Canis lupus familiaris: one gene and its partners. The protein of the gene in region 1 interacts with the protein of each later gene in a biochemical or structural test. Links are inferred from orthologs where the notes say so. Each region holds a gene or a part of one and is shown on either strand. Other genes may lie near its edges. The genes, in order: DLG1, MTMR1, ATP2B4, RALBP1, CRIPT, SLC16A3 and NET1.

Region 1 (3,650 bases):
AAGGCAGGCGCTAAACCGCTGCGCCACCCAGGGATCCCCTCTAAGCTATATCTTAATATGAAATTTTCATCAAAGTAAAAAATACCAAATTAATGCTTAGTTTTTTAGCTGCTTTGAGCCAATGCAGAAAATGTGTTGAAACTCTCTGTCATTCCAAGCTTAAAGCTATATACTTGGTGACTGAATCTAATTTTTAATGACATATTGTCAGCAGAGCTCAACTTTTCATGATTTTATGTTTTATGTGTCTCTTCTCCTTTGTCATCTTCTTTCCAAAAAGTATTATATTAATTGCTAATTTCTAAATTTATTTGTGTAGGGAAATGAATAAGCGTCTAACAGAAGAACAAGCCAGAAAGACGTTTGAGAGAGCCATGAAACTGGAACAAGAATTTACTGAACATTTCACAGGTTGGCATCATGTGTGTCAGTGCCCTGACAGGATTTTGATTTGAAGCCATATGAACTGACGCATTGAAATGCACTTTGAACGTATGACCACATCTACCAGTAATTAATTACTATGTAATTAATACTATGGTTTTCAGAATAATTCATCTAACCTAGCCAGTGATGATGAGGAATCTTAAAAGTTAGTGTTTCTTAAGTGGTTGATTAAGACCTACTAGACTGGAGAAAAATAGAATCAGACTTGCTTTCTCCTGTGAAACTGACTTTTTCCTTATGCTTTATACATTTTGATCTGTTTTAAGATATTTGTTTAAAAAGAAACAAGTGGGTAGCAATGCCCAGTGAATGAATCTCTCATTCATTTTGTCCTTTAAATTATTTTTCAGGTGTTCACACTAAGTACGTCAAATGCCATGGTGTTATAAACCATGTGCTTTTTTTTCTTTTCTTTTCTTTTTTTTTTTTTTAATAATTGAGACTTCTAGAACCTTCAAAGAATAGTGCCAGCAATTCTCATATACTTATCACCCATATTTTCAAAATGTTAACATTTTGCCACGCTTAATTTTTTTCTGAAACATTTAAAGTGGCAGGCAGATGCCCATTTGCCCCTAGGTACTTTAGTGTGTAACCTCCCAAATATATAATACTAAGTAAAAATCACCAAATCTCACTTTTTAATCAATATTTAAAATAAAAATTCTTGTGGTTTTCAAATAAGAAAATTAATGAAATGAGTGGTTATTACTAAGCAAACAATATGTAAGCAGTCTCCTGCTAGATGAGTAACTAGTTCTAAGACTTAGCTTCTACTCCACCAGTAGTTGTCATGGTAAAGATAGACAGCGGAGGTTTCTAATTTTGTTTCTGTTATTACAGCTATTGTACAGGGAGATACGCTGGAAGACATTTATAACCAAGTGAAGCAGATCATAGAAGAACAATCTGGTCCTTACATCTGGGTTCCAGCAAAAGAAAAGTTATGAGGACTGATGTTTCTGTTTCTCTTTTCCACAATCTCATTTTCTCTGACACTTCTTTGCCCTTTCCTTTTGGAGTCTGTCTGCAATACTCCTTCCATGTTGAATCGTATCCCACTCATCATGATCTACAGTTGTGCTTAGTTTTGACAACTAGCGTCTCCTTCAAGTTGTAGCATCTGTATTATTTTATGTCACTATTGGTTTGTGGCCATTTTTCAGAACTGAAGATGGAATGGCCTGACCAGCTATTAAGGATTTGGGGAGACTGGGAAATTGTGGTAAAATTCCTTAATGTTTAAGGGAAAGTAACTTTAAGAGATTTTTCAGAAAAGCTTTATATACATTCTTTTCAAATTTCAGTATAAATGAAAGAAAAGTGGTGTTAATCAGTGATTTAGTAAACTTTGAGCAACAGTGCACGCTTAACTTTAATAGCATGGTTTGGCCAATATATTAACTTTCAAGTCCTTTTCTCAATTGACTTGTGTTATCAAAGCAAATATTTCATTATAGACAAATAAGGAAAATGTTCTTTAATTTCAAAGTTAATTTCTGCATTAACTTTCATAATTTCACAAGGGATACTCATTTTTCATAAGAGTTCTTCATGTCTTACTGTTTGAGGGGTTTTTTTCTCAGTACATTTGCTAGGAATAGCAGTGTTATAAATGTTTTTAATCTACTTGTGCAGGACTATTTATAGTGTCTTACAAAAGTTCATACATAATGATCACATTTTCTGAATTGAGGCCATGTTTAGGTGCTAGGGGAGCTCACCTTTTACACACAAGGTTGAGAAAATTTCATAGACATAAATACAGAGAGAGAACAGACATTACAGTGGTGATGTAGTAATCATTATGGCAGTGGAAAAGGAGTCCAATTCATAGTCTAAAACTTTAAATGTATTCTTAGGGATCAGATTTTAATGAATATTTTACCCACAGTAACTGCCTATTTTGTTATAATAAAATATATATATATATAAATATATATAAAACTTTCTTTAACTAAACTCTGTAACTATGGGAATTATTTTCTTTACATAGTTGCACACACACACAAACATATATATATATTTAAAATATATTTTTTTCTTTTGCCACCTACTCTTAACTTTTTGTTTGGTTTTTAAATTAAATATTAATTGATTAGACTTTATCTTCCTTAATCATGTGAACTGAAAATGGGGGTATGGTGGTTGTGGAAAGAAACCTCTAGGGAAATTAGATTACATACAGAAGTATAGGCGTGTTCTCCTCTTTTCTACAAAAATTTTCAAATGGTTCCTGGTTTTGTTTGGGGTTTTTTTTATTACTGTTGTTCTTGTCATTGGATTTGGATTTGGTCTTCTGCCTCTCTTTCCATTTCTCCTTTCACTAATAGGCAAATAAGCAAAAGCCTCATGTGTGTTTGTTTTCCCCTCAGACTGCACGCCTTTCACCTCTTGTAGCTGCTCTGTCCTAGAGTTGCACAGATCTTCATGGTGAGGAATTTTAAGAAATTTTCGTGAAAGGTAGATACGATTTCAGAAATCATCTTCTCTGGTCTTTTAATAATATTGTTTGGCTTCCCTTTGCTTTTTTGGAATTGTTGATTAAATATGTGTTTTTGACAACCTCCTCATTAGAGTTTCTTAAATGAGTACTGGTTTGTAAAGGATTATCAACATTATCCATTCCATTTATGAAAAAGAGGAGAACAGCTAATAAACTTTATTGTAAAATCCATATGTTAAATGTGTCTTGAATTCTGAGAGAAGATACTATTTTACAAGCTAACGCTTTTTTGAAACATCTTGGAGCATCACGGGCCATTGGGGAACATAATCAAATTTTCTTCTGTAGGGTTTGGAATTGAGTATGTTAACACATTGAAATACATACTATGGCTATAACAATAACTATAGTAGGTTGTTACCAAACATAAAACAACGAGAAGAATATTATTATGAAATGATCTCTAGAGTCCCAGATCACTCTACAGCAAGGCCCCAGCATAAGCCATTTTGAAGTACTTAACTGGGGATCCCTGGGTGGCGCAGCGGTTTGGCGCCTGCCTTTGGCCCAGGGCGCGATCCTGGAGACCCGGGATCGAATCCCACATCGGGCTCCTGGTGCATGGAGCCTGCTTCTCCCTCTGCCTGTGTCTCTGCCTCTCTCTCTCTCTCTGTGACTATCATAAATAAATAAAAATTAAAAAAAAAAATGAAGTACTTAACTGGTTACATGTTCTAAAATAACAGGTGATTCCATT
Region 2 (4,455 bases), on another chromosome or scaffold:
CTCTAGGAAGCCCTCCTCAGCCCTATCCTCCCACAGCCCCGCAGGCTTGCCCCCACCGCAGCCCTCACCAGCAGGGCCCCGTTGAAGGATCTGGTACTGAAACTATGTTTAAAATCTTGTCATTTTGTTTCTGACAAATCTCAGGGCAGCAAGGCTGCTTGCATTACAGTTCTGGAGGCTGGCAGGTCCGAGGCTGAGGCTGGTTCCTGGGAGAGGCCTCTTCCTGGCTCGCCCACAGCGGTCTCTCCTGGGCCTTCACACAGCCTTTGCTCAGTGCTTGCTCAGGGAGAGGGTGACGCCAAGCTCTCCGGGGTGTCTTCGTGCAAGAGCAGTAATATCACCATGCCAGGGCCCCATCTTTGTATCTAATCACCTCCCAAGGTGTCATGTCCACATGCCATCGAGGGAGGGTTGGGTGCCCTGCAGTTGCTGGGGCTTCAACTTACGAATGGGGGATGTGCGTGTGTGGACAGAAACAGTCTAACCGTGGATCAAACACCTGATGTGATAATTTTGGAAAAGCCGAGCCTGTGGGAGCTACACGGGGGTCTCGAGATCTTCGGGCGCTTCCTGCCACCCTCCCCGCCCTGTCACCCTTTCAGCCGAGGCCCAGCCCTCTGGGGTGCAGGATGGCTGCGGGGCTCCAGGCATCGCGTCCTCACCCTCGAGGTTCATTTCGAAGTGGCTGAGGCGGGAAGGCCAGACGGGCCCGGGGCGGGAGCGGGCATGTCCCCGGTACAGGTGTGCTTGTTATCAGGGTCGCCGCCCCTGCCGCCGCGACCCGGGAAACCCGGGGCAATCACAGCAAACGGCTGAGTCACGGTCGCCCTCCCGTCCGCAAACCAAGTCAGGGGCGAGCTGACAGGGGCTGAGCCTAGGTCGCCAGATGTTGGTGGATCTGCCGGGCAACGCAAGGTGACTGTCACTGCTAATACGAAGCGGGGGCGGAAGTTCCGAGGGCGGCGGCGGGGGGGCGCGGTGGCCCCGCAGATGGCGGGGAGGTGGGCTCGGGGGAGGGGCGGAGGGCGTGGGGAGCGCTCGCCGGGCTGCCCTCCCGTCAGAGCTTCCCCGGACGCCGAGCGGAGGGAAGGCCGTCGTGTCCCGGCTCGCCGTGTCGCCGAGCGGCCCGCGGCCCCCGGGGCGTCCCCGCCAGCCGGCTCGGGGGCGCGCGGCCGGGCCCAGGTGGGGCTCCGCGGGCGGGGGCGCGGCCAGCCCCGCGCGCCGCTCCCCGCCCCCGGCCCCGCGCGCGGCCTTGTGGGTAGCGCGGGGCCGCCAGGTGACAGCTAATGGCGGCGGCCGCCTGAGCCGGCGGGCGGCGCGGCGCGGCGGCGGGCCCTTCCGGGCGCCGCTCCCCTCTCGCTGCGGCTCGCCCGCGGCGGCGGGCCCGGCGCGCCATGGACAGGCCGGCGGCGGCGGCGGCGGCGGCGGCGGCGGCGGCGGGCAGCGAGGGCGGCGGGGGCCCGGGCCCCGGGCCGGCGGGCGGCAGGAGGCCCCCTCGAGGCGCCGGAGGCCCCGCCGTCGGCTCCCGGCAGCCCAGCGTGGAGACCCTGGACAGGTAAGCGGGCCCCGGCCGCCGCGGCCTCCGCGCCCCCGCCCCCCCCCCCCCCGGGCCCCGCGCGCCGCGGTGGCCGTGCACCCCCTCCCCGCCGCTCCCTGCCCTGCCGGGCCCCCCTTCCTGGCCCGGACCCGGGGCCCTGCCCCCGCCCCCCGGGGCGCGCACCTGGCCCACTTCCGCCTTGCCGGCCGGGGCTCCCGGCACCCCTAGGGGCTCCGCAGCTGTCAAATCTTCTCGGCGCTTCTGCCCGCCGCACCTTGCCACGCGCCCCGCTGGCCTTACCGGGGCCGCGGCGCCTGTGGGGAGAAACTTGAACCCGGGGCTCAGCTCTTTCAGCGTGGCCTTCCCTCTCGGGGGTTGGAAGACCACAATCCCGCCGCCCCCCGGGACTGCTGGGGGCGGCGGGGGGGGCGGGGGGCTTTGCCTTTGGGGTTGGGAGTGGAGGACTGGAGGACGCAACCCCGTGGGTGTTGGAGCTGCTGCGGATGGAGGCAAAGTTACCCCGATTTGAAAGGATGGAAAACTTCCAAACTGCTCCTGATGCAGGAACACACAATCGTTTATTTCAGTCTTTCACACTTTGAAGGAAGCCGGTTCATTGTTTTCCTGAACACAGAAGCCTACTACTGCTTCCTAGGCAGAGCCGCTCTATGTCAGAAGTAGAGACCGACCGGGTCCAACTGGGAGGGCCACCCTAAGGCTCCAAGGATGAGCAGTGGATTGATTTTCCCGTGGCCCGGAATATCCAGTTTTCCCACATCTTGGCCACTTCGTTGACAGGAGAGGTCACTTAGGCAACAGTGTCGTAAGGCAGCTTGGTCAGTTTCAGATGCTCATTCTTGCCGGTGTTAGTCATAGCAGAGAGCTGAACTTTTGGGAGTTTCCCAAAGTGTAGCAACAACAAGAAACACTCCCTTTGTTCCTACCTCACTGTAATTACAGAGTATTCCACATTAATCCCCCAAGCAATCAGGGTCACTGAGAACTATAGTACTTGGAGCAGTCAGGATGCCCTCATTTGCAGAATTTCCCCAGTGTTTGAGGGCTTGGAGAGTCACAGAATAGTACAAGGTGGCTTTTGCTCTCAGGCTTACCTTCTCAGGAAGAATACAAACAAACCAGCAATTTAAATCGAATCTGCTGACTGCTAGGGTGAAGGTAAACAAGTACTCTGGACGGGGTATGTGTGGGAGTCATCTGAAAAGCTTTTTAAGAACTCCAGGTGACCAGGCCCAGTTCCTGAGCCTTCTGATTCAGGAGGTTTGGGGTGAGGGCCAGAATGTAGCATTTTTCAAAAAGCCTCAGCAGACTCCTTTTCGATTCATTGCACTGTGGGCACACAGAGGTGGGGTGCTTGATTTATTTTCAGTGGAAGGGGGTTGAGGATTATGGGCGGTTAAGGGAAGGAGACCTGCTGAGGAAGCTGACATTTGAGTTGAAGGGCCAGGAATGAGAAGTTAGCCAGGGGACAGGGCGGGGAGGACTTTCTGGCCACGGCAGTGGAATGTGCAGTCACGCAGGCGATGCTAGATGTGGGAACTGGTAGGACACAAAATGTGTGGGAAGGCAGAGGCCAGATCTTGAAGGGGCTTGAGTGCTTTCCTAGGGACTTGTGCCTTTATCTTCTGTGCCGTGCTTCTCAGGGCATGGTTGTGTGTGACCTGCATGGGAATCCCCTCCGGCGCAAGGTCCACATGCAGGTTCTTGGGTCCCACCCTAAGTCTGGTCTGTCCAACTCAGGGCCATGGCCTGGAGTTCTGCACTTTCAACGATCACCCACAGCTGCAAGTAAGTTGGGCCAGGGAGTCTCTTTTGCCCAGGATGGTGCCGGTTTACTAGCTGGGCAGGCACGGTTATTAATAGCGCCCTCCTTCAATAGTGTCTTGGTTTGGATGGGAGATGATATGGTCACCCTAGCTTTGGGGACCACAAAAGGATTTCCATCAGGTGAACTTGATGGGATGGGTTTGATGTTTGAGAACATTTGTTCTGCAGGGGTGTGGTGAATGGACTGGAGGCGAGGAGTCTTATTGAATAGGTTATGGAAAAGCAAATCACTCGTTCATTTGTATAGGACTGCCGCCTCTGTGTCAGGCACCGTGTGGGGCCTGTAGATTTGGCGGGGAACGAACACACACAGATCACTGCCCTTGGGGAGAGTATGTTTGGTTTGTTTTGGATGGACAAAAACCAAGTAAACTGCATCCTCTGTTAGACAGTGACAGGTGCTAGGGGAGAAATTAAGTTGGGAGGGGAATACGAGGTGTTGGGGGCCTGCAGTTTGGGGGGTGAATTGGAGTTTTACGGAGGATGGTCAGGGAAAGTCTGACTGAGAAAGGTGACATTTGAGTACTGCCCCTAAAGAAGGGAGGGGTCCAGTCATACAGATATTGAGGGCGACAGCATTCCGGCAGAGGCCTGTGCACCCTGGATAGGGGTGGACCAAGTGTGCAAGGATCAGCAAGGAGACCAGTGTGACTAGAGGGGAGGGAGCTAGGAGAGAGGTCACAGGGGCAGATTGAGTCATGGGGAGCTACTGGGGCTTTTGGAGCAGAGGACTGCCATACCCTGGTGTAGATTTCAGTAAACCTGTCGTTGCTGTGTGGACAACAGACGGAAAAGGGGAAGGGATTGAAGCAGAGAGACTAGCGGGTAAGAGACTATTGCAGTCATCCAAGTAAGAGAGGATGCTGACCTAGATAGCTGGAGGAGAGGAGGGAGAAGTGGTCAGATTATAGATGTAATTTGAAAAAAACCTGCAGGGTTGAGCCAATATGGTTTGCTGAAGAACATTGCTTGTTGGGTGGGAGAGAAGAATCAAGATGCCAAGATTTGGGGCTTGTGGGAAAATGGTGTTGCCAAGATGGAAAAGCCTCTGAATGGAGCACAGTTAGGAAATT
Region 3 (3,243 bases), on another chromosome or scaffold:
TCCACCTCATCAGAAAAGGCACTTGTCTGGAGCACAGCCTCCGAGTGGGTGGTTTCTCTCCTGGTCCCAGCCCTTCCCTTCCCCACATAAGATCATGCTCTCTTCACAATTAGAAATAGCTGGAGAAAGCTGCAAGACCAGGCACAGGTGCCATGCACCAAAGACATGGACATGCATTTGAACTCTGAGAGCCAGCTCTTCTCTCCAAAGTTAGGATGAAGGCATCTTCTGATACCCGTGTTTCAGCCCCATCTGCCAGGGGAGGGGCAGAAGGGTGGAGTTTTGCTTTCTTTGAAGGAAGGGAACATGGCAGAGGTCGTGGGATAGAAATATCTACGTGTTTCCTGACTGAAAGAGCAATTATTAAACTGGAGAGTATAAGAGTTTTAATTTCTTGCATGCTGCTGACACAAATGACAAGTGTTTTGTCTGCCTTGCTGCACGGTATCCATGGCCACTTATCACTCAAAAGTATATTATGTACAAATGGGTATGCGTTTGGCTCTTTACGGGTTTGAAACAGATAACTAAACTTCAATGTGTAATTTTTCCATTCCACGTTCACAAAATGTTTGGCCTCGACACAGAAAGCCACATGTCTGAATCATCTTTTAAGTTCGGCTATTAATTTGCACCTGGTTCCAATGTCCTTGCCCTCCATCCAAAAGAACTAATGAACCCTTGTTTTCTGTTTCATTTTAAGAATGGTTTGGGAATGCTAACTTTGCTTTGGGTTTTCTACTTTTTTTTTAATGCAGCTTTGAAATATTCAGTTGTTTGCCATTACTCACCCCACGCCACCCATGCTTGAAATCTGGTGTTTCTAGCGTTCCATAATCTCTTCTTATGTGTTTGGTTTGGGTTGTTGAGCAGTAGTATTTCATAGTTGGGGTTTTGTTTCTCTCCTCAAACTGCCAGTTCTTTGTTCTACTGGCCAATTCCCACCTTCATGTTTTCTCATCCTCCTTTTCCTTCCCCTGGTATAGATCAAAGTGGTGAAAGCGTTCCATAGTTCCCTCCATGAAAGCATTCAGAAACCCAAGAACCAAAACTCCATCCACAACTTCATGACCCACCCTGAATTCGCCATAGATGAGGAGGTGCCACGAACACCACTCCTGGATGAGCATGAGGAGGAAAATCTTGAAGTTCCTAAGGCTGGGACTAGGGTGCTCCTGTTGGATGGTGAGGTCACTCCGTATGCCAACAAAAACAACAATGCGGTGGACTGCAGCCAAGTGCAAATCATTGCCTCCCACTCAGACAGCCCTCTACACAGCCTGGAGACATCCGTTTGAACTTCATTCTCTGACTCCCATCCCCACTCTCCCCGTGTCCTTTTTCATCTGCCCCATCTATAAGGTAACGATGGGACTTTTCACTGTCATGTCAGCTGCTCCCAAGTATGTGTGAACCCCCACCTGACCATGAAGAGGCAAGAGCACAGACCTACGAGGATTTCGACTTAAACTTGAGTTGGGGTTTGTAGCAGGACCCAGTCAAACCCCAGGCAGGTAATGAATGGTAGGATCTACTCCTTGGGTGTATCAGTTGTCATTTTTAAAGAAATGATGACAGTCCTCTTGGCATCTACCCCAACCCAGACTCTCCCCAGTATACATACGTATGTCGGCATCTCCTGACTTCTGGATTTTACCCTATGAGTCTGTGCCATGTTTAAGCTAAATAGAGGATTCCAAGAGACGAATGTTCCCAAATGAAATATGTTGAGGTAGGAATGGAATGTATAGAATCAGCCTCTAGAGTGATTGTTTTTTAAATGACTTTCCCATTTTCAAAACTTACACCTAGAGCCCTCTGGCTCTTTCTGCCCTTCTAGTCAAATCTCCCTAAGATTCTTTGGTCTTTTACGACCACTGTCTTCCCTACCTTCACTCTTTCTTTTTCTTTTTCTTTTTCTTTTTTCTTTCTTAAGTGGTGATGATTAAGAAAGTGGAAAGGACATGGCTGAATTGAATCAACTTTGGCCATTCTCCCGTCTGGCCCTAATGGAACCCTTGGTTTAGTCCTAGAGGCAGATAGATTTCTTTGCTACTGGGATCCTCTTGAAGCAATTGAGAGCTGGTAAGAATGTGTTTCTGTTGTTGCCAGGTTACCCTCCACTTCTGAACTGCCATCTTGTCAGGTGTGTGTCCTTTCTAAGTGCCAGGGAGGTCAGCCTTGACTGTGAAGCTTGCATATGTTCGCTATATAGTTTTTACCATAAGCCTGAGCTTTCTCCTATTCCTAAAGTGGTGGCAAAAGAATGGATCGAGAATGGCCCTGCCTCCCAACTGGACTTGGATACTGAGGACCAGCAGCTGGCAGGTCTAGGACAAGACATACCATCAGAGCCAACTCTTATGCGATTCTCCCTAGGTTGACCACTACTGCTTTCAAAGCCTTCCTCCACCAAGGCTTTTCTAGGACAGGACCTGATTGTTGGGGGAGTGAGTACTGAGAAGCCTTGGGGAAGGCCAAAGGGCCATAACAGCAGGTTCTGAGAAACCAGACACCTTGAGCCTAGGTGCCCAAGTACCAGCTTTGATGTACTCCTCAGCTTTCTCATTCTGCTCTCTCATGGCCCCTAACTCGTCCTGTCTCTAAACACACCCCAACCCTTCTTGGATATTCTGCTTTTGAAAATATGCATCCCATGTGGACTCCACTGACATTTTGCTGACTTAAAGGAGCAAAATACCCACCCTGAAAAGTTCTCCTTCCTCTCTTCCCTTCTTCCACATGTCCCACTCAAGGTCCTCCCCCGAATGTGGTTGACTGCTGCCCAGTCAAGCCCTGTGCCTTCTTTCCCTGAACACTGCCCAAAGCAGCCCCTTCCCACCTGCCTCTCAGGAGTTGGGGACTTCACTAGGAGATTTTTTTTAAGTGTTCCTTGATGGGACAAGGTGGAGCCACATTTGCAGGAGCTCCATGTTTATGCCCTGCTGATGTTGACATAAGCTCTTCTGTGCAGGGTGAGTTAGCTCATGTCTACCAATTCCCGTGAAAAAAACGAAGCCTGTCTCCCTCTTTCAAGAGAGATGGGGGTGGGGCTCCAGGCTCTTATGAACTGCCAAATTTCCACTTGTGAGAGTAAGGTGGCCTAAAGCTCTCTGCTCTCTGGCCTTCTCTTCTGGACCCCTCCTCCCTCACCCCTTCCACCTGAGCTGTCCGAGGTAGGAAGAGCAAAGGAACAATACCCCCCACGTATCCCCATCACTACACAATCTGCCACATTTGACT
Region 4 (3,811 bases), on another chromosome or scaffold:
GCCTATCTCTCTGTGTATGTTTCTCATGAATAAATAAATAAATAAATAAATCTTAAAAAAAAAACCCAAAAAACAAAATGAAGCTTCTTACTGTGGGGACTTCTTTGTAAAAGGAGCTCTGTGTGCTACTTTGAGAACTCTGATTTTCATTTAGTTTATTTTTCTAATACTTAAAGATGCTAGTGCTTTCTTTGAAAGCTCTGAAAACTGAAATGTGTGATGAGTATAACTTGAGATGATAAAATGAATATTTTTAAAGAGGGGTCATGAAGAAAAATATTTTTGATTTGTAAATGCAAGAGTACTCACTATGTTTTGTGTGTGGGGAGGTGCTTTTGTATTTTGACTGGTGTTGATGACCTTTTTTTCCTATGTGCAGGTGTAATGGATAGGTAACAGAGAAACCCTCTTCACTGTCTCATCAGGGAGGCAGAATGACTGAGTGCTTCCTGCCCCCCACCAGCAGCCCCAGTGAACACCGCAGGGTGGAGCATGGCAGTGGTCTTACCCGAACCCCCAGCTCTGAGGAGATCAGCCCTACTAAGTTTCCTGGATTGTACCGCACCGGCGAGCCCTCGCCTCCCCATGACAGCCTCCATGAACCTCCTGACATAGTATCTGATGATGAGAAAGACCATGGGAAGAAAAAAGGAAAATTTAAGAAAAAAGAAAAAAGGAGTAAGTGCCATTTTTATATGTGCTTTTGATATATTTCAGATAAACTTTTACTCAAATTACATGCACCTGCTATTTTCTGAGACAATGTTCAAAGACTCTTGTTTGACATTGTCTGTTCTTTTCTGGATCTCAATTTTTGTTTAGTAGAGCTGTATTTTAGGGTCTTACTCTTGCAAATAAAAATACCAAATTTCCAGAAATGGTAAAGTTTTATGATGAAAGTTTCTTATATTGATTATTTTAAATAATGCATAAAAAGTAGATACTGGAGTTTCACCCTTATATAGAATATTACTTTCTTGGCTAGGTTGTGTAAGCCAGTTGCAGTACTATACTTTATTGGAACTGTAAAAAAAAAAAAGTAGTTATTTGTTTGTCTTAAGCAAATGCTATAATGCATTCTATTTATAGTTCCTATTCAGTAGGAAAGATGAATTTTTTTAAATTAAATTTAATTTATTTTATTTATATATTTTTTATTTTTTAATTTGGAAAGATGAATTTTTTAAGCATAGCACCTTAGTATGTTAAAAGCAGATCAGGTGAGTTATTTTAAGTATTGCTTTATTTGGAGTTTTATGGTATTTTTAAGTTAATTTGTTTTTTGAAGCATAGCACTAAGAATGCACAAATTGTATATAACTTGAATGAGTTATTACAAAAAGGGTGTATGTCCTTAAATTATAAGCCTCTGGGAATAGAGCATTATCAGCAGCTTAGAAATTCCTTTCCATTATCCCTTCAAAGGGAATCTTCCACCCTTCCCAAAGGTAAACTGCTTTCAATATAGCTTGAAACTCCCTGATTTTGAATTTATCTAACTGATACCAGATTTCCTTTTGCATCTAGTTTCTTTTGCCCAAAGTTGTATTCATTAGATTCATCCATGTTATTCTATGTGGCAGTAATGTGTTCATTTTTATTGCTGGATTTTGTTTCATTTCATTAATATACTAGAATTTTTTGCTATTCTTGGTCTTTTGGGTTGTTTTTCATTTTTGACTGTTATGAATAGGGCTTCTGTGAGTGTCATTGTAGGTGTTTATACATATTTCTGTTGTGTATATGCCTGGATGTGGAATTGCTGTATTATAGGCCATACTCATCTTAGCATTAGTCTCATAGATCCTGCAAAAACAATTTTCCAGAGTGGTTTACACTCACACCAGCAGTGTCTGAGAACCGCATTTGTTTTAGATCATGGTATAATGCCCTTAAGGTTTCTGCCCTTCTGGTTAGTGTGGAGTTTGTGGTATTTTAAATGGAAGGTAATTTGTGAAATATTTTTAATCTTTGTTATGAAATAGCTTGCAAGGTAGCTGGCTAAAGAAAAGAATAGGAGAATTATATTTTGAGATAACAGAAGCAAGCTAGGATAGCTCTAATATGATATAAAACAAGTGTCGGTATGTGTACACCAAGGCTCATGATGCATAAGTGGGCCGGTGCATTTGGCCACCATCCAGAGATTCGGAAATTTCCTGGTTCTGTCTTCCACCCAAATGAAGCTTCAGTCCCTGCTGCAGTTTCCAGAAAGAACGCTCTATATTATAGGACTCTTACTTAGCCCTCTCTCTGTAGATCCTTTGTTGTGTATTCATAGTATTTGGTTTGCCAAACTTCCACCTAAAACCAGTTGTGATGGTAACTGGCACTCTGCATTTCCCCTCTTGTGGCCAGGAGATGTCACTGCCACATCTCATTTTACCTGAGAAGAAACCTGTTCCTTTACTGGGAGTACCCAGGAGGGATTGACCATGAAGTGAAAATGAAAAGCAAGGTAGCCAGTGCCAGGTAGCGCTGTTTTTTTGGTCCTGTTTTTAGAGAGTTTAGGCATGGTTTGACATTTAACAGATCTATGACTTCTGTTTCCTGTGTTTCTTTGGCAGCTGAAGGCTATGCTGCCTTTCAGGAAGACAGCTCTGGAGATGAAGCTGAAAGTCCTTCCAAAATGAAGAGGTCCAAGGGAATTCATGTTTTCAAGAAGCCCAGCTTTTCTAAAAAGAAAGAGAAGGATTTTAAAATTAAAGAGAAACCCAAAGAGGAAAAACATAAAGAAGAAAAGCACAAAGAAGAGAAACATAAAGAGAAGAAGTCAAAAGACTTGACAGCAGCTGATGTTGTTAAACAGTGGAAGGAGAAGAAGAAAAAGAAGAAGCCAATCCAGGAGCCAGAGGTGCCTCAGATTGATGTTCCGAACCTCAAACCCATCTTTGGAGTCCCTTTGACTGATGCAGCTGAGAGGACCATGCTGTACGATGGCATTCGGCTGCCAGCGGTTTTCCGTGAGTGTGTAGATTACGTGGAGAAGTATGGCATGAAGTGTGAAGGCATCTACAGAGTTTCAGGTATTGAGGACATGTGCTTCTCTTGGGGGTTTTAAGAAATTCACCTTCATTTTTTAAAGAAAGGAAAATGATTAGCTTGTGAGGAAAATTGTAGCATGGGTCCTGAGCCTTATTCATTTCCTTGATCCTTGCAGTTGAACAAAAATCCCTCACTGCACGCGTGCGTGCGTGTGTGTATGTGTTTGTGTGTGTTTTGATAGTTTGCTTTTTTCTGATGATACTACCTTCCATTAGGAGGCTTTATGCATGAGTCTTTCATAGTTTGCAGCCGCCCGGCTGAGTATAAGCAAAGCATAGGAGTAGTGTTCCTTCGCTCTGGTGTGCTCAGACTGTGCTGTATTCTTCTCACCTCTTTCCTCTCTGAGCAGAGCTCTGTGTTGTGAAGGAGAGGAGATATCTGGGTAAAGGACGCTTCAGAGACACTTTTATTAGCATAATCGTATTTCCTGAGTTAAGCTGAGGGACATGAAATGTTCTTTGTTAAATGTTTAGGCCCAAATGTGAATGCTTTTGTCAGCCATGTGCAGCTATTACATAGATTAATGAAATTGATTTTCCATTTATTTATGTTCCCTTTGTGTGAAAATTTAAATTTCATATTTGGCAAGAATATCTCATGTGGGTGTCTAGAATCAAGCAAAATGTAAAAGGAAAAAGATTTTATTTCTTGCAAAGTAGTAGGACTTTTTTATTGTGTAGTATGGAAGTCTTGCCCTGTGCAACATCTGTGTTCCAAATCATTACTTTCCTTTATTTTTTTTTTTTTTTTTTTTTTTTTTAAAGAT
Region 5 (4,258 bases), on another chromosome or scaffold:
ATGACAATGTCCGTTACAGGTGCTAGGTTCCAATCAAAAGTAGGGCATAAGTAGAAGAAAAATCTTTCTTTCTCTCTATAAAATACACATCGTGGTATGTATAACATATATGTTTATTTATAAATTACCTAACGCAGAGCTTATACATAGTACTGGCTAATATCAAAGTAACAGTCCACATGTTACCCATGTTACACTGTGGTTGAATATTCCAGAAAAACAAAAGGGCAAGTCAAGGCCTTATCTTTACAGCTCTGATCTAGTTCACATTATAATTTTCCAAGGCAAATATTCTACTGATAAGGAAACAGGCTAAGGCACGTTGGGAGACATGTCCAAGGTCCCAAGCTCCCAAGCACTATAGCCACGTCAAACCCTCGCCTCTTTGACATAAATCTACACTCCAGGGGCCGAGAAGGGGATGAAGAGCAAGAAGGGAGGAAGGAAACCTCTCTGGCAGATCCGCTGACCAAGGGGCAGGGGCGCAGGATCCGGAATACACCGTCTGAGCGGACTATCCCTTCGGGTATGTTTCTGGGCCGCTCTCAGAATCCCAAGTGATATGGGCAGATGAGGCTCTAATACACGGAGCAGCACCCAACTGCTTACTGAATGAATGAACGAACGAACGAGGAGAAGAGGGTGGGCCAAAGGTCTGCCCCCCCGCGAAAGCAGCCGCGGGGGTGGGCCCTGGCGAGCACACCCCGGCGGCCAGCGCCCGCGCCCCCGCCCCCGCCCCCGCGGTCGGACCCGGCCCGCGCCCACCGCCCCGGAGGCTGCGGAGCTTACCCGCGCAACCCGCGGCACCTGCCCCTGCAGCCCCCCGCCAACCTCGGCCGCTCGGGACTCTGCCCGAGCCTCACCCCGCGCCAGTGTGAACGGGGGCGGGGCCGCGCTGAGAGGCATAAGCAAAAGGGCACGGGCGCGGAGACCGAGACGAACGGAGGGCGCCACACACAGGGACGGATCCGAGGGCCGGGTCCATCGGGGCTGCCCCCGGGTCACGCCGGAAGGGTGGCCCTCGGGCGGGCGGCGGGCGCCAGCGGGCCGGGGGCACAGACGCTCGCGGCCACGTGGGCAGTGGGTGGGGGCCGCTGGCACCCCGGGAGGCTCGCGTGCCGGGCGGGCGCCGCTGGGCTTACCTAACTCTCCCGCCAGCGGAAGAGGAGCGCGAGCTACCACCTCCCACCATCAGGTACGACTCGCCGCCCTGGCCAACGCGCAGGCGCAAGCCTGTGGGGCGGAGACCCAAGGCGGCACAGCCAATTGCAGGAGCGGAGGGGCGGGCAATGGGAGAAGCCCCGCCTCCCACGGCCTCTCAGGTGTGGGGTGGGCGGGGCGGTGGGCGGGGCGGAGGGCGGGGCGGCCGGAAGCGGATTTTCGTAACCCGGAAGGGGACGTCTGCCCCGGCTGTTGTGTTGACATTCTCGAGCTGCTGCTGTTTCTGCGGCCGGGGGAACCGTCGGGGAAGGATGGTGTGCGAAAAATGTGAGTTAAGGGGCTGACTCTTTGGGAGGAGGCCAGGAGAAGCTAGCAGGAGTTCTCCGGGGACTTCGCCTTTTCTTTGTCTTTTCTTTCGGCCACAAGTCTCTGATTCCAGCCTTTGTCCTTTATCCCTTTCACCGTTCCCATTGGTTTTGCATTCGGAGTGTTCTCAGTTTTGTACTGATTTGTCTATTTCCTTTGCCTCCCCCAGCCCCACCCCGGGATTTCATCCCATACAGCTCTTGACTGGCTCCTTAGCCTCACAGACCCTCAGCATTGGAATGGATCTTAAAAGTCATTTTTACAACACCCAGAGTTTCCAGATATAGCAGACATTTTAAAAATGAATACTTTTTTTAGAAGTATATCCCATGCGATATTTGAGACTTGTCTTTGCTCGCAGCTTCTTAGTACTGAAAGTGCTTTGGGCTTACCTTTAGGACATGACAATACTAAAACACCATTCATTGTTTATTTGAAATTTAAATTGAACAGGGCATCCTGTATTTTAACGAGCAACCCGAAGTTAGCATCCTTAAATGTTGACTTAAATGTTCTTTGCATGAATATCTGAGGTCTTGAGGCAGGGTTCAGAAAGCCTCACTACCTTCAAAACAGTCTGCGTAGATGCCACTGGCTTTTAGAAAGTTCCTTCTTGGGCAGCCCGGGTGGCCCAGCGGTTTAGTGTCACCTTCAGCCCGGGGCGTGACCTGGGGTCCCACATCGGGCTCCCCGCATGGAGTCTGCTTCTCCCTCTGCCTGTGTCTCTACGGCTCTCTCTGTGTGTCTCTCATGAATAAATAAATAAAATCTGAAAAGAAAAGAAAAAAAGAAGAAAGAAAGAAAGAAAGAAAGAAAGAAGAAAAGAAAAGATCCTTCATCCCTACAGTTGCCAGGCAGTGATTCTAATGCAAACCCTTGATGTTTCTGGAAAGTATCTTAGGATTTCTTTGATGTCACAGACTGTCTATATGTTTTAAAACGGCTCTCATATCCCTAAGTCTCTTTTTCCTCAGGCTAGACTTTTCTTAACAAGATTTCAAGTCCTCTTATCTGGATTAACATTAACTTGATCAATTCTGTTTATATTCTCCCCTCCCCCCCAGTAGATAAACCTTTAAACACAGGCACCCATGAGTTTGAATCACAGGTTTTACATTATGTAAAGGAATAACCATGGTGAATTACCTAATATTTCTTGGCTCCAGTTTTCTCCTCTGAAAAATGAGAATAATACATAATTTATGGGGTTTTGTGAGAATTAGATAATGCAGGTAAAGCCTGATATAAAAGTGCCTTAGTGTATACTCAAAAACTGGTTATTCCTATCATAACTCCCAGTATGTGGCACTCAGCATTAAACTCTGCTCCATTTTATGAGGAGTAGAGTGGGACTGATATTTTCATTTTTCTATGCTTTACATCATCATCTCACATGAAGCTTTTAAAAAATTATTGCAGTTCTACCAATTGGCATAGGTAGAAGTCACCCATTTAAAATGTGCCATTCTGTTATTTTTAGCGTATTCACAGGGTTGTGCGACCATCACCACAATCAATTTTAGAATATTTTCATTGCTCCAAAAAGTACATTAAGCTGTTTGACATTGACGTCCTTTTAACTCTACTCCATCCAATACTTATGAGGTTTTTTGGTTTTGCTTGTTTGAGTAACTATGTCTTACATATATTTAGGTTATGCACCTTCTCCATGTCTTTTCTCTTATGTAGGGTAGTTCCTAAACATGTAAATTAGCCTTCTTTGTAATTTGTGTTAATTCGGTACATTTTAACTTTAGAGGCCTGGCATTCTGACGGGCTTAACTTGTTTTGTGTGATGTTCTTTACACCATAAGTGCTTTTTTCCCAGGAAAATTGAGGATACTGGGCAAATTCTGAGAGGTAATTTCCTAAGGCACATAAAAATTTTGAGAAGCCAAGATCGGATGTGATGTTAAAATACACATAGTTTGGCTCTGGGACGTGATATATGTCATAAAGGTCATTTGCTTTTTACTTCTCTGCACTTCTGAAAGTCTGTATTATTTCTTTGCTCTAGTACCTTTCTACCTTCTGTACCATCTTATTCCCCAAATAAAAATAGACTCTTAATTCAAAGACCTTTCTTTCAGTCCCTTTCTGCTTCTCTGTGACTTTGAAACTTGATCTAGATTCTCTTTGAATTTACTTCTCTTCTTCTTTACCATTATAATCTCCAAGTTTTCTTATTCTCCCTCTCCCTTAAAGTAGATATTTCCCAGTGATCGACATCTGCCCTTCTTTTGACTCTTTGTTTTGGAAATATCTGGCTTCAAGTAGTTTATCCATGCCAGTGAATGTCTAATCCACATCTCCAGCCGACTTCTCTCTATACCAAGACCAATAGAAGAAATTTCTCCAGACAATACTGGGACCCTTCATCTGGTTGTTACATAGTAGTATAGTACTTCCAAGACTGAATTTGTCATCCTACTTTATAAATCTGTAACTTCTCTTCCATCATTTAATGGCATGGCAGTCCTCCCAGTCACCCATTCATAAAGCCTTATTCATCGCTCATTCGTTCTGGTATCCCTTTGTCAACCTGCATCCAAACACTTGCCTGTCCTGCTATTGTTACTTCCATTCAATAGCTCATATTTTCCCTAGCCTCTCATTTACCCCTTAAATAACCTACCTGAGGTCCCCATCACTCTTGAGTTAAACTAATGTGATCCCCTCCCAGCTCCTTTCTCTTCAAACTGTGCTCTCTCTGCTTTTGCCTCTTCTCTCC
Region 6 (3,811 bases), on another chromosome or scaffold:
GGGATTCAGCCCCATGTAGTGTCCCGTCCCAGCCTCGGGCACGTGGCTGGTGTGAGGGGGCACCTGGAGGAGAGGACCCAGGGGTGAGGCCAGACGATCCCGGCACAGTCCTGTCCCAGGTTCCAGGGATGCCAGGGGGGCCAGGGGGGGCCAAAGGGCATGGGGTAGGGAGCCTTGGGGGGGGCGCTCTCTTGGGTTCCCCGGGGGCAGGGGTGCAGGGGGGCTGGTGCCGTGTGCTGCTCCACTGGGCTGTGTCAGCCTCATCACCGGCCTGGCAGCCAGCAGGCTCCTGGGGACCCCGGCCTCAGACGGCGCTCCTCCTTAGCAGCAGCCGCTTGGGATCACCCGGAGAGTCTTCAAAATCACTCCCCTGCCTGGACACAACACCCCTTGAATCGGAGTCCAGGTGCCCCCCAGGCAGCCAAGTCAGGGTCCCCAGAGGGCAGGGCTCACATGCAACCTCGATGCTGGGAGGGGGTCATTCCCCCCCACGCTGACCCTGTGCTCGCTCCAAAGTCCTGTCCAGGTTCCAGCTACGCCCCGACTCGGCCCGACATACGCAAACGCGCCACCCAGGGGCTCCGCAAGGTCAAGGTCGAGGAGGAGGACTGTGTCTGAAAGGGGACAGGGTGGAGGCAGGCCTGACACGGGGGCTGTGAGGGACCTGGCAGGGGCGCTCCTGGGCATCAGTGTGGGCCAGCGCTCCCCATGGGGGCTTGTTTCTCTCAGAAGGGATCCTTGGCAGCAGCCCAGGGGCTGCCCCCCTCCCCGCCCACACAGAGAACAGCCTCTGTCCCATGAGGTGGGGAGAACCAGACCACCAGCTGGATCTGTGGGGTGAGGGGCTTCTGTGTGAGGATGAGGAGTTGAGGGGCGAAGACGGGAGGGGAAGGTCTTGGGCTGGACATCCGGTCCCAGCATTCCAAGCTGCTGGGCCTCAACAGGGCTAAGTTGGGGGTTTGGGAGGGAAGTGGGCCCAGGGCCGCTGTAGGGTCTCGGGCCGACAGTGGGCACGGCTGCCTTAGCAGCCCGGAGGCGGAGAGGGCTGCTCCAGTGGGCGGCATGGAAGCGGCGGCGCTGCCCACCTATCCCTTCACTCAGCCCTCCTGCCCACCCGGGGTCTCCCCTTCCTTGAGCAGCAGAGACCACCCCCAGCTCTCGTGGGAGCTCGGCCTGAGGATAAGTGGGTGGGAGGAGCCAGCACTGGCACGGCGAGGGGCAAGAGGGCACAGAGGCCTCCTCTGCGGCACGGACTGTCCACTTCCCAGCCTGCCAGCCCGCACAGCCAAGCCTGGGAGAGCGCCACCCCCCCCGCCCCATCCTCAGGCTGTCACTCGGGGTGCGGTGTGACCACGGGAGCCCTGTTCCTTGGGGGTGGGCGAGCACGGCTGGACACGTCAAGCTGAGGTCTGGAGGGACACCACCCCAGGCCCCGTCATAGGACCTGCTCGCAGGGGGTGGGAAGTACAGGCTGCTCCCCAACATGGGGTCAGCGGGGAGGAGGCTGGGCTGGGCTGACGTCCCCACTGGGGTCTGTCCTCCTCAGGAGGTAACCTGAGACCTTGCTGAGCCCAAAAAAGCCACTGCCCTTTAGAGCCAGCTGGGTGTGAGCAGGCCAGGCCTGAGCGGGAAGCAGGGAGGAAGGGCTGCAGCTGCTGGTCCGCCCAGACCCTCCACCCCGGGCCCAGGTGAGGGGCGCAGGTGAGGGCCGGGGGCGGGGCTCTCAGGTGGGGGGGCAGTGGGGGCCCTGCTGTGGCCCCGCGGTGGCCAAGGCCACACTATTGAGTCAGCCTGACTTCCTTCCTCAGGGACGCACGACCCGCCCTCCTGGCCATGGGTGGTGCCGTGGTCGATGAGGGCCCCACGGGCATCAGGGCCCCTGACGGCGGCTGGGGCTGGGCCGTCCTCTTCGGCTGCTTCGTCATCACGGGCTTCTCCTACGCCTTCCCCAAGGCGGTCAGCGTCTTCTTCAAGGAACTCATGCGTGAGTTTGGTATCGGCTACAGTGACACGGCTTGGATCTCTTCCATCCTGCTGGCCATGTTGTATGGGACAGGTAAGGGGTGGTCACGTCCGGTGGTCACCTCGGGAGGTCACCAAGTGCGGTTCTGGTTAGGAGCTCCAGGAAGGCCTGGGGGTGGGGGGCTGGCAGGAGCATCGGGTACCTGCAGCCCCTGTTCCGGGGGGCCTGGAGTGCAGCCCTGGAGCGGCCGTGGCTCCCCATCGGGCCAAACCGGGCACAGGCCACGTGCATCTAGGACATTCCACTGTGAACCATGCTGTGCTCGGGCAGGCCTCTAAGTGTGACTTGCACCCTGAGCGCCTGGTGTGTCTGCTGAGCTGGGCTGGGGGCCAGGTCCCTGGGTGAGTGCGGAGAGGCTGGCCCTGCCCTGTACCCTGACCCCCACTCCTCCCCATAGGCCCACTCTGCAGTGTGTGCGTGAACCGCTTTGGCTGCCGGCCTGTCATGCTCATGGGTGGCCTCTTGGCGTCCCTGGGCATGGTGGCCGCGTCCTTCTGCAGAAGCATCATCCAGCTCTACCTCACCACAGGGGTCATCACCGGTGAGTGGGGCCCAGCCGGGAGCGGGGCAGACCATGGCTGGCCCCTCAGGCGTACTGGGGCAATGTGCCCGGGCAGGGCCTCTGAGGAGCAGGTGGCCGTGGGCTGTCCCTCGCGCCGGTCTGTCCCTTGTTCCTCATCTGACAGGGGCTTTGGACACACACCGGGCCCCCCATAGGGACACCTGGAGACCCCCACGTAGAACCGTTTAGGGAAGAAAACGGGACAGGGACGAGGGGCTGGGGGCTGGCCGACGCCTCACCCGCCCGCCCCTCCCGCAGGCTTGGGCTTGGCACTCAACTTCCAGCCGTCACTCATCATGCTCAACCGCTACTTTAACAAGAGGCGCCCCGTGGCCAACGGGCTGGCGGCCGCGGGCAGCCCTGTGTTCCTGTGTGCCTTGTCCCCACTGGGGCAGCTGCTGCAGGACCACTATGGCTGGCGGGGCGGCTTCCTCATCTTGGGGGGCCTTCTGCTCAACTGCTGCGTGTGCGCCGCGCTCATGAGGCCCTTGGAGGCGCCGGTGCCCGGGTCGGGGCCCGTGCCCCAGCGGCCGTCCCGGCGGCTGCTGGACCTGAGCGTCTTCAGGGACCGTGGCTTCCTCATCTACGCAGTGGCCGCCTCCATCATGGTGCTGGGGCTCTTTGTGCCTCCCGTGTTTGTGGTGAGCTACGCCAAGGACCTGGGTGTGCCCGACACGCAGGCTGCCTTCCTGCTCACCGTGCTGGGCTTCATCGACATCTTCGCCCGGCCCACTGCTGGCTTCATCACGGGCCTTAAAAAGGTGCGGCCCTACTCTGTCTACCTCTTCAGCTTCTCCATGTTCTTCAATGGCTTCACGGACCTCACTGGGTCCACAGCCAGCGACTACGGAGGCCTGGTGGTCTTCTGCATCTTCTTCGGCATCTCCTACGGCATGGTGGGGGCCCTGCAGTTTGAGGTACTCATGGCGATCGTGGGCACCCAGAAGTTCTCGAGTGCCATCGGCCTTGTGCTGCTGCTGGAGGCCATCGCCGTGCTCATTGGGCCGCCATCGGGAGGTGAGTAGGGGGAGGGCAGCAGGCAGCGAGCCTTCTTGGGGAGGGGGGCCCACCTTGGGAGGGCCCAGCTCACAGTCAGCAGGTGTCAGGAGCCTCCAGGAACCTGCTTAGTCCCCCGCAGAAAGGGGCCCAGGCACATGCGAGAATCCTGAGGGTGCTGCTACCCCGCACACGGGCTGGCTCAGAGCCAGGGTGGGGGTCGGGCTTTT
Region 7 (3,811 bases), on another chromosome or scaffold:
TTTCTCAAATAAATAGATAAATCTTAAAAAAAAAAAAAAAAATCCATGCTTACATTTATTTAGTTCTAGCAAATACTTTTATAATAAACATTCATTTTTAAAGATTTTACTTATTTATTCATGAAAGACAGAGAGAGAGAGAGAGAGAGAGGCAGAGGGAGAAGCAGGCTCCATGCCAGGAGCCCTATGAGGGACTCCATCTCGGGATCACACCCTGAGCCGAAGGCAGACACTCAACCACTGAGCCACCCAGGTGCCTGTATAATTAATATTTAAAAAATAAGTTTGCTTTCATTCAAACTGTTGTAGAAATTTGTTTAGTAGTGCTACAAGTTACTTCTATCACTATAAACTCTTTGAAAAAAAAATTGAAAGACATGTTTTTTAAATTAGGAAACTATTAATTTATTTTGAAAGGAACCCCTAGCCAAAAAAGTTGATTTATGCTTCAAAACTAAAATATAGGGCAGCCCAGGTGGCTCAGTGGTTTACTGCCGCCTTCAGCCCTGGACCTGATTCTGAAGACCTGGGATTGAGTCCCACAGGGGCTCCCTGCATGGAGCCTATTTCTCCCTCTGCCTGTGCTTCTGTCTGTCTCTCTCTCTGCCTCTGCCTGTGTCTCTGCCTCTCTCTCTGTGTCTCTCATGAATTGGTGATAATAAATAAAATCTTTGAAAAAAAAAAAAAAAACTAAACTAAAATATACAAACTGTTCTCCAACCAAGACCTTTGAGTCATTCTGTCACAACAGAAACCAAAGTTTGCTTCATCAAAGCTAATAATGTAAAGTAAAAACTAGTAATTTTCTCACTGTGATGATTTTATTTTAAAACTTGCTTCATAACTTATGCAGAAAAAATTAAACAAGGGGGAAAGGTGAAAGTAATAGCTCATTTCATATTGGTGAGAAAAAATATACACTCACATGTCCATTTTTATTCTTCAGCTCCCCATGGCAGAGCAGTACTTTGCTTGCTTCAATTCTAGGATCCTTCTGCTTTTCGTCTAGATACTCCAGTTTGTCAATGTAATATTGGCATTCTGATTCACCTTTCTTCAAGTTGATATCAGAGAGAACTCCTTGTATTATCAGTATCTAAAAGTTATCAAGAAATCAATGAAGCATTTTCAGCATATTAGCTTTATGGTTTCCTTACAGGGCTAAAACATTATATTAAAGTGATAGGATTTTAAAGCTTGAAAGGACTCTCTCTAGAAATCAGATAATTCAGTCAGTCTCTTCAATTTACAGATGAAAAGACAGCCACAGCCAAATTGGGTGACTTGCCCAAAGCCACACAGCTAGCTGGTGGAAGAGGTCAGATATTACAATCTAGTCTTCTGATTAAAATATAAATATAACACGCATTACGTCTCTTTACTGCTTAGTACACAAGTGTACTGGGTAATGAACAGAGCATTTTGCTATGTTGCAATACGCATAAGATTTGAGAGTACCACTGTGTATATTTCTAAGGCAAGCTAATATATAAACTTGAAAAATCTAAGAATCATTTACTAGACTTACAGCTTCCTCCAAAGGCTGAACATCAGGGTGGTCTTTTGGAGTGTGTCTAAGAATTTCTTTCAACAGTAGAGGGTATTTGACCAGGCGACTTCGAGGAATATCTAGAAAGCTCCAAAGATCTAGTTTTCGACTGAAGGGAGATTCAAGACATCGTTGGAGGAAGTCCTGGACGCGTGGATCCTGTTTCTTTTGATCAAGAAGAGCTTTGGCTGCCAGCTGGTTACTACAGTAGCCTTTGTAGGCATTCAAGCCTGGCAACTAAAGAATACGAAGAGAAAACACAGTAGGATACATGTTTTTGTGAAAACAAAAACAAAACTTGCAGCTAATTCTTGAAAATTTTAATAAGCTGCAAAAGTTTCCCTGCAGATGATGATGGGGGTAAGGTAGTATCTGAGCCAACATCAGAATGTCCTTTTGTAATTTTGACTACATCTAACCCAAGACCCATGGCTTCTACTTTCTCCCAGCCTCAGTTTAGATGGTAGTCTTCTATATTTCCAGGGCACCTGAGTGTTTCTCTACCACAGTCATCACCAACCTTAAGATCGCATATGTACTTGACTACCCACCCTTTCTCACTGGATTATAAATGTAGACACCTTCCACTACTGAACCCCCAGTGAGCCCTCCTGGAACAGCACCTAGCATCTAGGAGGGACCGAAATGTTAACTGAAGGAACAAAACAGGCAATGTGGGAATTCTGTCCCAAGAGAAAGAGATTTTTAAAACAAATACAACTGTATCATTCGTGAAGTATTTTCTTAAGTAAACACTGTAACTTCTTACAGCTATATAATTTTGTTCTGTCTTAATGCCTTGTTTCTCTGTTTTTAGAATTCATTTACTAGATCTGCTATTCACCACAAATGACAAGTATGGCATAGACTGAAAAAGGAGCTGGTGTAAGGAGCTCACTACATACCCAGTTCACAAGAATGTGACCAATTTGTTCCACTGTTCCACCAGGTTTGGTTGCTTCTCCTATTCTTGCCAACAAATCTGAAATGTAAAAAGGCAGAAATACCAATAACAAATTTATCTTAAAAAGTAATTCAGCACTAAATTAGAAGTTTAGATTCAAAAGAACTTGTGTTGGAGTGTCTGGGTGGCTCAGTTGGTTGAGCATCTGACTCTTGATTTCAACTCCAGTCATGATCTCAGGGCTGTGAGATCAAGCCCCACCTCGAGCTCTGTGCTGGGCATGGAGCCTGCTTGAAATTGTCTCTCTCTCTTTCTCTCTCTCTCTCCCTTCCTTCTACCCCACCTTGCTTGCTCTAAAAAACAAACAAAAAATACCCTCCCCCACAAATTAAAAAAAAAAAAACTTTGTGTTAATGCTGTTCAGACACTAATAGAAATTAAATATCATATATCTCACCTTCATGGAGAGGTATATAAGCGTCCAAATCACCAAATATATGGGTGAGTTCCTCTTCTGACATTATAGACAACTTTAACATAGGGTCATGGTAGGCCTGTCAGAGGGGGAAAAATATGTCACCCAAAGAGATCAAGCAAATAAAACATGATGAGACACCTTCCTTGAACGCAAACATGACTAACTATATAAAAGCTAGTGTGGATTCTATATGTTACACATAAAAGAAACCAAACTATATGTTAATACTCAAAGTCTCTTATTGATACTCATATTTGAAGAGATTTTCAAGTCATATAAAAAGTTTAAAATTTGTGAAATATAATTTTTTAAAACTAGAGCAAGTGATAAGAAGTTATTTACTGACCTTTCTTGCAAGCTTGAGATCCTCAATTAAATCCTGTTCACCTCGGGACATTTCATATATTGCCTAAAAAAAGGAAAAAAAAAAATCCAGCAAACATTACAGGTCATTCCTTCCTTTGAGAAAGGAAAATTATATACAATTGATATTTGTCATTAATTATTTAGCTGATGTTTTGCAGAGTGCTTTTTAAAATGATACAGTCTGAAAACTCTAACTCAGAATGGAATCTCAAGAGGTTGCCATATGTTTTATAACTTTGGTCCATCAGAGTTAACTTTGATGACTACCACCCATCACAAAATGTTCCTGCTCAGCATGTGTTATGAATTACCACTCAGATAGAAAACTGCAAGCTGATTTTGCTTAGGTATTAGTTTGCTATTCTTAAGACACAACATGTTTAAAAAATAGGGACTTTTTTTTTTAGTGTAAGACAAAAAATATGGCCTTGCTACTGAATGCCAGCTTACCTCCTGACGTTTAATTTCTTTGGTAGTTAAAGACTCTTTCATACTGACATCTAACATCTCTGAC

The links.
Region 2: the proteins of DLG1 (region 1) and MTMR1 interact in a test that uses a peptide from one of them, tested with the Homo sapiens proteins (2 studies listed by IntAct, with this or other methods). The link is inferred for Canis lupus familiaris from reciprocal best matches to the Homo sapiens genes DLG1 and MTMR1.
Region 3: the proteins of DLG1 (region 1) and ATP2B4 form a complex in vitro, tested with the Homo sapiens proteins (2 studies listed by BioGRID and IntAct, with this or other methods). The link is inferred for Canis lupus familiaris from reciprocal best matches to the Homo sapiens genes DLG1 and ATP2B4.
Region 4: the proteins of DLG1 (region 1) and RALBP1 interact in a test that uses a peptide from one of them, tested with the Homo sapiens proteins (2 studies listed by IntAct, with this or other methods). The link is inferred for Canis lupus familiaris from reciprocal best matches to the Homo sapiens genes DLG1 and RALBP1.
Region 5: the proteins of DLG1 (region 1) and CRIPT form a complex in vitro, tested with the Homo sapiens proteins (3 studies listed by BioGRID and IntAct, with this or other methods). The link is inferred for Canis lupus familiaris from reciprocal best matches to the Homo sapiens genes DLG1 and CRIPT.
Region 6: the proteins of DLG1 (region 1) and SLC16A3 interact in a test that uses a peptide from one of them, tested with the Homo sapiens proteins (2 studies listed by IntAct, with this or other methods). The link is inferred for Canis lupus familiaris from reciprocal best matches to the Homo sapiens genes DLG1 and SLC16A3.
Region 7: the proteins of DLG1 (region 1) and NET1 form a complex in vitro, tested with the Homo sapiens proteins (3 studies listed by BioGRID and IntAct, with this or other methods). The link is inferred for Canis lupus familiaris from reciprocal best matches to the Homo sapiens genes DLG1 and NET1.

Annotation. Positions count from the first base shown.
Region 1 is NC_049254.1:30,716,760-30,720,409, reverse strand, and holds the end of DLG1 (disks large homolog 1), read left to right. Parts: intron 1-319; coding exon 320-411; intron 412-1,290; coding exon 1,291-1,397; 3' UTR 1,398-3,124; downstream 3,125-3,650. UniProt on the Homo sapiens protein: Essential multidomain scaffolding protein required for normal development. Recruits channels, receptors and signaling molecules to discrete plasma membrane domains in polarized cells.
Region 2 is NC_049260.1:120,240,610-120,245,064, forward strand, and holds the start of MTMR1 (myotubularin-related protein 1), read left to right. Parts: upstream 1-1,394; coding exon 1,395-1,555; intron 1,556-2,602; exon of another isoform or gene 2,603-2,713; intron 2,714-4,455. UniProt on the Homo sapiens protein: Lipid phosphatase that specifically dephosphorylates the D-3 position of phosphatidylinositol 3-phosphate, generating phosphatidylinositol. Could also dephosphorylate phosphatidylinositol 3,5-bisphosphate to produce phosphatidylinositol 5-phosphate.
Region 3 is NC_049259.1:1,011,894-1,015,136, forward strand, and holds part of ATP2B4 (plasma membrane calcium-transporting ATPase 4), read left to right. Parts: intron 1-986; coding exon 987-1,298; 3' UTR 1,299-3,243. UniProt on the Homo sapiens protein: Calcium/calmodulin-regulated and magnesium-dependent enzyme that catalyzes the hydrolysis of ATP coupled with the transport of calcium out of the cell. By regulating sperm cell calcium homeostasis, may play a role in sperm motility.
Region 4 is NC_049228.1:75,572,619-75,576,429, forward strand, and holds part of RALBP1 (ralA-binding protein 1), read left to right. Parts: intron 1-379; 5' UTR 380-434; coding exon 435-678; intron 679-2,567; coding exon 2,568-3,026; intron 3,027-3,811. UniProt on the Homo sapiens protein: Multifunctional protein that functions as a downstream effector of RALA and RALB. As a GTPase-activating protein/GAP can inactivate CDC42 and RAC1 by stimulating their GTPase activity.
Region 5 is NC_049231.1:49,891,066-49,895,323, forward strand, and holds the start of CRIPT (cysteine-rich PDZ-binding protein), read left to right. Parts: upstream 1-1,362; 5' UTR 1,363-1,472; coding exon 1,473-1,488; intron 1,489-4,258. UniProt on the Homo sapiens protein: As a component of the minor spliceosome, involved in the splicing of U12-type introns in pre-mRNAs. Involved in the cytoskeletal anchoring of DLG4 in excitatory synapses.
Region 6 is NC_049230.1:935,468-939,278, reverse strand, and holds part of SLC16A3 (monocarboxylate transporter 4), read left to right. Parts: exon of another isoform or gene 1-362; coding exon of another isoform or gene 363-374; intron 375-453; coding exon of another isoform or gene 454-1,485; exon of another isoform or gene 1,486-1,808; 5' UTR 1,809-1,833; coding exon 1,834-2,056; exon of another isoform or gene 2,057-2,420; coding exon 2,421-2,564; exon of another isoform or gene 2,565-2,843; coding exon 2,844-3,602; exon of another isoform or gene 3,603-3,811. Other genes in the region: uncharacterized protein LOC119876620, read right to left, coding at 363-374, 454-1,485. UniProt on the Homo sapiens protein: Proton-dependent transporter of monocarboxylates such as L-lactate and pyruvate. Plays a predominant role in L-lactate efflux from highly glycolytic cells.
Region 7 is NC_049223.1:29,484,575-29,488,385, forward strand, and holds part of NET1 (neuroepithelial cell-transforming gene 1 protein), read right to left. Parts: coding exon 3,748-3,811; intron 3,341-3,747; coding exon 3,278-3,340; intron 3,008-3,277; coding exon 2,911-3,007; intron 2,532-2,910; coding exon 2,455-2,531; intron 1,787-2,454; coding exon 1,529-1,786; intron 1,097-1,528; coding exon 926-1,096; intron 1-925. UniProt on the Homo sapiens protein: Acts as a guanine nucleotide exchange factor (GEF) for RhoA GTPase. May be involved in activation of the SAPK/JNK pathway Stimulates genotoxic stress-induced RHOB activity in breast cancer cells leading to their cell death.